2 linked regions of the Coturnix japonica genome follow. The protein of the gene in region 2 purifies or fractionates together with the protein of the main gene of each other region. This does not show direct contact. Links are inferred from orthologs where the notes say so. Each region holds a gene or a part of one and is shown on either strand. Other genes may lie near its edges.

The links. The genes of interacting proteins can lie anywhere in the genome.
Region 1: the proteins of HSPD1 (region 2) and SIRT3 purify together in Homo sapiens (affinity purification with mass spectrometry; 3 studies listed by BioGRID and IntAct, counting the BioPlex papers as one, with this or other methods). This does not show direct contact. The link is inferred for Coturnix japonica from reciprocal best matches to the Homo sapiens genes HSPD1 and SIRT3.

What each region holds. Positions count from the first base shown.
Region 1 is NC_029520.1:1,387,433-1,391,667, reverse strand, and holds the start of SIRT3 (NAD-dependent protein deacetylase sirtuin-3, mitochondrial), read right to left. Parts: upstream 2,905-4,235; 5' UTR 2,856-2,904; coding exon 2,801-2,855; intron 2,406-2,800; exon of another isoform or gene 2,287-2,405; coding exon 2,211-2,286; intron 1,469-2,210; coding exon 1,268-1,468; intron 1,110-1,267; coding exon 877-1,109; intron 739-876; coding exon 638-738; intron 513-637; coding exon 351-512; exon of another isoform or gene 249-350; intron 1-248. Other genes in the region: PSMD13 (26S proteasome non-ATPase regulatory subunit 13), read left to right, coding at 3,009-3,103, 3,390-3,468, 3,945-3,979, 4,058-4,113.
Region 2 is NC_029522.1:10,987-14,244, forward strand, and holds part of HSPD1 (60 kDa heat shock protein, mitochondrial), read left to right. Parts: intron 1-76; coding exon 77-329; intron 330-499; coding exon 500-582; intron 583-1,222; coding exon 1,223-1,318; intron 1,319-1,584; coding exon 1,585-1,678; intron 1,679-2,109; coding exon 2,110-2,278; intron 2,279-2,610; coding exon 2,611-2,710; intron 2,711-3,258. UniProt on the Homo sapiens protein: Chaperonin implicated in mitochondrial protein import and macromolecular assembly. Together with Hsp10, facilitates the correct folding of imported proteins.

The DNA.
Region 1 (4,235 bases), on a different chromosome or scaffold from region 2:
GAAGCAGAGAGAAAGGTGGTCACCTCACTGCAGGGATCAATTCATTGTGTGCTAAACTTCAGGGACTCCAAACTGCTGGGTTCGTGCTTAACAAGTTCTCCCACCATGGGCTAGGCTAAGCTACCCCAGCTTTGAACTGGTCATGGATGTTTTGCTCAAGTTGCTGCACCACCTTCACCAGGAGCACACAAAGTTTTCATGCAGCCTCTGTGTGCATACACCCTATTTCCTGCCGCCTCCAATTTTACCTTGATAACCCAGTTTCTTGCCTTCCGTAACCCCTCTCTCTCCTCCAGAGCCCCTCAGGCCCTTTTTAACTTGTGAACAAGGACATCCCCCTAGTCCCAGACCTCCAGGGACGTTCCGATGACAAAGAGCAGGTCTGCCATGGGGAAGTCTGTCAAGTGCAGGAAGAAGCGCTGCGGAAGCTCCTCGCCAAAGAACACAATGTCAGGCTTGACAATTCCAGTGCAGACACGGCAGTGAGGGACCTTGTCTGCCATAACGTCTCCCTGAAGTAAAAGCACCCAATGCCAGTTGATATGGGGCAGCACATATATACACAAACAAGGTCACAACCATGTTGGACCCTCACAGTAACATCACTTCATGTCAATGTCCAGCTGCATTCACTCACCCTGAAGTCCTCTCCTGGGAACTTCCTCCGACAGACTGTGCACGTGGCAGTAGCAAAGGTGCCGTGGGCTTCCACCAGTCTATCAGGAGGGATCCCAGCAGCTGGAACACAGCAGGTGGGAGAGGATCAGCTCAGCATGAGGCGACTGAACCAGAAACTCCATCTTCAACAGGCATATTCCCAGTCCTCCTGTTCTGCTTCTCATTATCAGCTTTTTCTGAGAGCTGGAGAAAACTCACCTCGCTCCAGCCCATCAATATTCTGAGTATAGAGACGTAGAAGGAGCCCTTTGTCATGCAAGAGTCTCAGGAAATAGTGGGCGTAGTTGGGTCTATAATTGCCAGGGTAGAGCTCCTTGGCCAAAGTGAAAAATGGCTTGGGGTTGACGAAGAAATAGGCCAGTTCAAAGATGGCTTCGGGATAAGGGATGTTGTACTGCTCAAGGTTACTATAGAGGCCGCTCCCCGGGGACCTGCAGAGAGAAAAGGAAGGTGGGCAGTCAGAACACAGGGGGAAAGCGACCCACCAAGCCAGGACACAAAAGAGCAGAGAGCCACGTTCTTGGCTTAGGCTGAAGAACCTGATAGTCCCAACACTAATCAAAGATAAATAAAACAATGAAGGCAGTACCTGAAGTCTGGGATGCCGCTGGGGGTGCTAATCCCAGCACCAGCCATCACCACTACTCGACGACACTCTTTCTTCTGAATGAGCTCCGCCACATCCTGCAGGGTGAGCTTCTGCTTCCCACTGTCACCTCCCCAGCTGCCCAGTCCTAGAACAGCACTGGTGGCAGCAGACAGAGAGAAGGGCTTGGTCCCTTGTACCCTGCTTAGAACAGAGGGAAAGCACAGTCGGTTGTGTGGGGAAAGAGACTTCAGCTGAGAGAAAGCTCAACTAGGAGAAAGTTCAAGCATTAAGTCTACTCCAGAACACTGAACTGATTTTAGATCTTAATAATACCAAATCAATGTTAAAACACACCAAATTTCCCTATAAGAAAGGGAAATGCCCTGTCTATGCCCTGGGTCTCAGGAAACTTCTAACAGGGTGCTGTGGTCACTCTGGAGCAGCACTGCTTGGATTAGGACAGACATTTCACCAGTTCTCTATCTCACCCCAGGGACTCTGCCTTGGGAGAGCTCTGTGTGCAGCTGGAAAGCAAAGGAACTGCAGGTCAGCAGTGCATACAGATGGGGCTGAGAACACCCATTATCATCCCAAGGAACACTTTCTCCCCAGACAATGAGTGCTTGCAGCAGCAGGATATTGAAAGCAGTCCAGGGAAGGTGTGAGAATGTGAAGAGCCAAGAGCTGCTGGATCCTGGCAATCTGCAAACAGCAATTACTGTGTCCTAACGTGCTCAGCGTGGCTGACACTGGTACCACAAGGACGTGGTTTGGGCTGTGCCAGGTCAGATTCCCACAGAGCTCATTTCACAAGCTGGCAAACGTTAACATTTCTCTGTCCTTTGTTTCTCAGCTCCCAGCTCAGGCTCAAAGACACACAGGACTTCAGACAGGAGAGGTGCCGCTCTCCACACCAGCTCTGCATGAAACCATCCAGCCCTACCTGCATAGCCCACAGCCAGTCCTGCACTGCGGGTAGAACCGAGCCAGGCCACCACGCTCCCACAGGCTCCTCCATGCTGCAAGAAAACACAGAGTCAGCAAACAGCGAGGGATCTGTTCTCCCCTCAGCTTCCTCTAAGGGTCTACTTCCCTACCTCAGGCTCCCCCTGGGGCCTGCTTCCTTACCCCCGTTCCTCCCCATCCCCTCAGGCCCCGTTCCATCCCCTCAGGCCTCGTTCCATCCCCTCAGGCCTCGTTCCATCCCCTCAGGCCTCGTTCCATCCCCTCAGGCCTCGTTCCATCCCCTCAGGCCCCGTTCCTTCCCCACAGGCCCCGTTCCTTCTCCTCAGGCCTCGTTCCNAGGCCCCGTTCCTTCCCCACAGGCCCCGTTCCTTCTCCTCAGGCCTCGTTCCTTCCCCTCAGGCCTCGTTCCTTCCCCTCAGGCCCCGTTCCTTCTCCTCAGGCCTCGTTCCTTTCCCTCAGGCCTCGTTCCATCCCCTCAGGCCCCGTTCCTTCCCCTCAGGCTTCCTCCAGCACCCATCATGGCCCACTCCCCCCATCAAGGCCCACTGCCCCCCCTCAGCTCCTCACCCGCCACCACCCGCCGCACAGCACCGATCCCCCCGCCCCAAGGTCCCGTTGCCATAATTACGAGGGGGAGTGTGTGGGGGGGGAGGGGCCGGGCAACGCTAGGCCTTCCGGTACCCATCGTACCCCGCGGCACGCCGGAAGTGAGTGTGCATATCCGGCGGGGGCGGCCCGGTGCTCGGCGTTGCTGCCTGCTGCGGTCGCCGCCGCCATGAAGGACGTGCCGGGCTTCCTGCAGCAGAGCCAGAGCGCGGGGCCGGGGCAGGCCGCGGTGTGGCACCGCCTGGAGGAGCTCTACAATAAGAAGTGAGACATGGGGGGGGCTACGTCGGGGTCCAACCCGGGGTGATGGGCTGCAGGAGGGACTGGGGCTGTGTGGAGAGAGGGGGACTCGGCCTGCGCTGTGGTAAAGGAAGAATGGAGGTGAATGTGTGCACCGCGTGAGGAGCTGCTGCAGTCACTGCACATGGGGGTGTTGGAGAACCGTGGGGATGGGATGTGGCCATTGGGAGTGATGAGGGTGGGTTGGAGCTGGACCTGACCTCAGGTGTCTGTTCTAATCTTCATAGTCCTGTGGTTCTGTGTTTTGAAGGCTCTGGCACCAGCTGACACTGCAAGTGTTGGACTTTGTGCAGGACCCGTGCTTTGCACAAGGAGATGGACTCATCAAGGTGAGGTGCTCTGCCGTCTCTGAGCAACAGACGGGAGGTGTAGTGTGTTTTTTCTTTCCCTTTTGTAACAAGATGGCTTATTGTTGGAAGTACAGGATGGGCTGAATGCAGTATATATAGTTACAAAGCAGAGATGGTAGTTCATATATGCTCTGTCAAGGTCTTCATGAAGATAGGGGCTTACCATATCCTCCTTCATTCCCCACTTTCCCTTTGTGTCTGTTTTAAAGCTCAGTATCCCCTGAGGTAAGGGCTTCCCTAATGAAGAGCCACTAGTTTTTAGTTGTGGGATGTGTATGAGGGACTTGGAGAATGTCTTGAGTTCAGGCCTATGCCATTTGTACATTGCTAATGGAAAGCAAACACTGGGCAGGGCTGCAGAGAGGCATTGTGTTTCAGTATCTATTAGCTCATAAGGTTTGTGAATCAAACAAAACATCTGTTTTCCCTAACTGTTGATATCTCTGTACCCACAGCTTTATGAGAACTTCATCAGCGAGTTTGAACACAGGTGAGTTTATTTGCCTGGAAGTTTGTAGACAACCTATTGCTGACAAGTACCGCTCTGACAGCAAGTTCTTCATTCTAGGGTGAATCCCCTGTCCCTGGTAGAGATCATTCTTCATGTAGTCAGGCAGATGACAGGTAAGTGACCTTACCCTTTGCTTACACTGTCTTTAAGGAGTGATGCCCATGAAACTAGGTAGTAGTAACAGCTAAGTCTTCAATGCTGAGCTATTGTCTTGCTTGTGTATGAAAGAAGGAAA
Region 2 (3,258 bases):
TCTTACTGTGATTTAAGGGTTATCTGTGTTATCTGTTATCTGCCTTTCATTTAATGTTTCTTGTTTGTCACCCTAGGGAAGAACAGTCATTATTGAGCAAAGCTGGGGGAGTCCCAAAGTGACAAAGGATGGCGTGACAGTGGCAAAGGCAATCGACTTAAAGGACAAATACAAAAATATCGGAGCCAAATTAGTTCAAGATGTTGCCAATAATACAAATGAAGAGGCGGGAGATGGTACTACTACTGCAACGGTACTTGCACGGGCTATTGCCAAAGAAGGCTTTGAGAAGATCAGCAAAGGAGCTAATCCAGTGGAAATCAGGAGGGGTAATTCTTTCACCTATGTTTTCAATATTTAATTGCTAGCTTTTTCCCTTTGCACATGCTAAATCTGTCTGGTTTCCTCAATGAGTTGCCTTTTGTTGTAGAATCAAATGGGTTTTTTCTGTGCTATATGCCTTGTGTTGTTCACTGACAAGTATTCCACTCGTCTCTAGGGGTGATGCTCGCAGTTGATGCCATCACAGCTGAACTGAAGAAGCTGTCTAAACCAGTTACAACTCCAGAAGAAATTGCACAGGTAAAAACAAACGAACAAAAAAACAACAAACACATAATTTGACTTCAGAAAGTTTTCTGAACTCAGGTTTGGATACAGAACAGCTGAGTATTTGTCTTTATGTGTTGGGGTTTGGAATGTATCGCATAGAATGATGTCCATGGTAACCCATAGAATGAGTTGTTTGAGATGCCCAGTGTTCTGTCTTCAGGTAAATGTTGGTTCAGAACTAGGCAGTTTGTTTTAATCAGGATTGTTTTCACAAAGTAACTGTAAAACATTAATGTGATTATTTGGAAGCAAAAATGGCTATTGGTGGGTTTGGTGATGGCAGACTTGCGGGAGCATTTGTAACACATCAGCTGTGGGAGGTTCAGGTTGAGCCTGATGCTCTGCTGTTTGTCCTGCTGTGGGCGTGTTGGGCTTTGAGGCTCATTTCCTCTTGTGGCTGCAGATTCAGATGTGTGTGCTGCATGAACCCAGCGTGTGGGGTATAGCCCAGAGCTCAGGCTGCCGCGAAGCCACAAGCCATTGTATCCATTGTATTGTTCTGGTGTGGATGTGCTACTGTTCGTTGTTCTGTGCTGTGGTTTCATTCGTTTATAGTAAGGAAACAAATGATGAGTACTGTGAAATGAGTTGAAGCATTTTGCTTTTTCAGGTTGCCACGATATCAGCGAATGGAGATCAGGAAATCGGCAATATAATTTCTGATGCCATGAAAAAGGTTGGAAGGAAAGGTGTAATCACTGTTAAGGTGAGAGCTGTCAGCATATGGACCAAGAGCAATTTATCCGCATTTCCAAGTTAAGGTTGGCATTTGTGGCATGTGATGGAGCTGCTCACATACAGTAGTACCCTCCACAACTCTTCTGTTCCCATCTCTTTTAGATTAGGGTTGCATCAGTCTTAATTAAAATTGTTTTCCTTTGAGATAGAGCACATGAAGCAGATGTGGTGCAGTTTTTGTGCTGTGGTAATGTTGTGACCAGATCTCTGATAAGACTTTCTGTATCTAAACAGGATGGAAAAACTCTGAATGATGAATTAGAAATCATTGAAGGTATGAAGTTTGATCGAGGCTACATATCTCCGTATTTTATTAACACAGCCAAAGGTGAGTTAACAGAACTGTGTGTCAGGTACCTTAATGGCTCCACTGATGTTAAAATGGTGTGTCTTAAAACAGGCTGTTATGCTGCTTAGCATGACAATAGGATGTTGGGGTCCTTCCCCTGTCAGAAACATGGCAAAAGCTTGAAAGCTGTTTATACTTTTTATACTTCTCTGCTAAGTGTGAACAGTGTCTGTGCCACCATTCAGCCGGCCCCGCAGCATTGCAGATAACAGAACTGGAAGTCTTAGAGGACAGCACTGGGGGTTTTGTGGGGTTTTTGGATGTGTGGTTGTCATTATTTGTAGGGGTCTTTTGTTTGTTGTGAAGTTAAAAGATACAACAGTAGTTCTCAGGCTGCACAGTAAGCTTTAGGGAAGGCTGGATATGCTTTCATAACGAGATTGCTCAGACAATGCATATTGCTTCTGCAGGGCAGAAATGTGAATTCCAGGATGCTTACGTTTTAATCAGTGAAAAGAAGATTTCCAGTGTACAGTCCATAGTTCCGGCTCTTGAAATTGCCAACAGTCACCGCAAACCTTTGGTCATTATTGCTGAAGATGTTGATGGAGAAGCCCTCAGCACTCTGGTCTTGAACAGGTAAGGTTTAAAATTCATACTTTGACAGCTTTGGAACAGCAAATACTGCTCTTTTTTTCCCTCCTGCATTTTCATACTTCTGAAGGAATACATAGGAAAGCATGTATTTGAATTTTCCCAGTACTAAGAAGCAACAACTCTTACACACTGCCATGGCTGATATTGCTTGGGCTGAATTTCAATGGTTTCTTCAGCTACTTGTTTGATCAACAGCAGCTCAGTGTATAAAGATCTTGTTTGCTTGACTGTTAGATTTGTTCCAAAATAGTTCATAGCAATGAGGTTTGTTCTGTGAACACATTGGCAGTACTGCTCTCAATTATGTTCTTCAGGCTCAAGGTTGGTCTCCAAGTTGTTGCTGTAAAAGCACCAGGTTTTGGTGACAACAGGAAAAACCAGCTCAAGGATATGGCAATTGCTACAGGTGGTGCTGTAAGTAATGACTTTTTAATTGGCTTCTTCCTTTAAGAAACACCAGTGTTATTTAGGGAGATTAATAGTTTAGTTTTAGGTCCCTGGTTTCAATTTGCTGTGTTGCAAGCTGTTTCTTGTTCTTCCAAAAGGGTAACAGTAACCAATGCTTGAACAAGTACAAGAGCAAATATGGTGGCACTTGCTGTGTCATACAGCTCTGGCCAGCTTGGAGTAACAGGTGGCTATAAGCGGCAGGGTTTCCTTGCAGGATTTGGGTTCTTATAGGAGAAATGTCCAAAATAGTTCTGGAGGAAAAAGCCAAATATACTTGCTTTCTTATGACTTGAATTAGGATGAATGTAATTGTTCTGAAGGTTAAGAATAGACTGGATAATTTAGTTACTTCTACCTTACAGCTGTGTTTAGTTTTACTACCTCAGTTCTAGTGTTGTTGATGTGCTTGTTACTCTCCGTTAATACATGCTTTTAATACGTGCTTCAGAATCATAGCATGATACTGGGATTCAAAGCTGGTTATTGAAATATATGTTGAAACCTAATGAAAG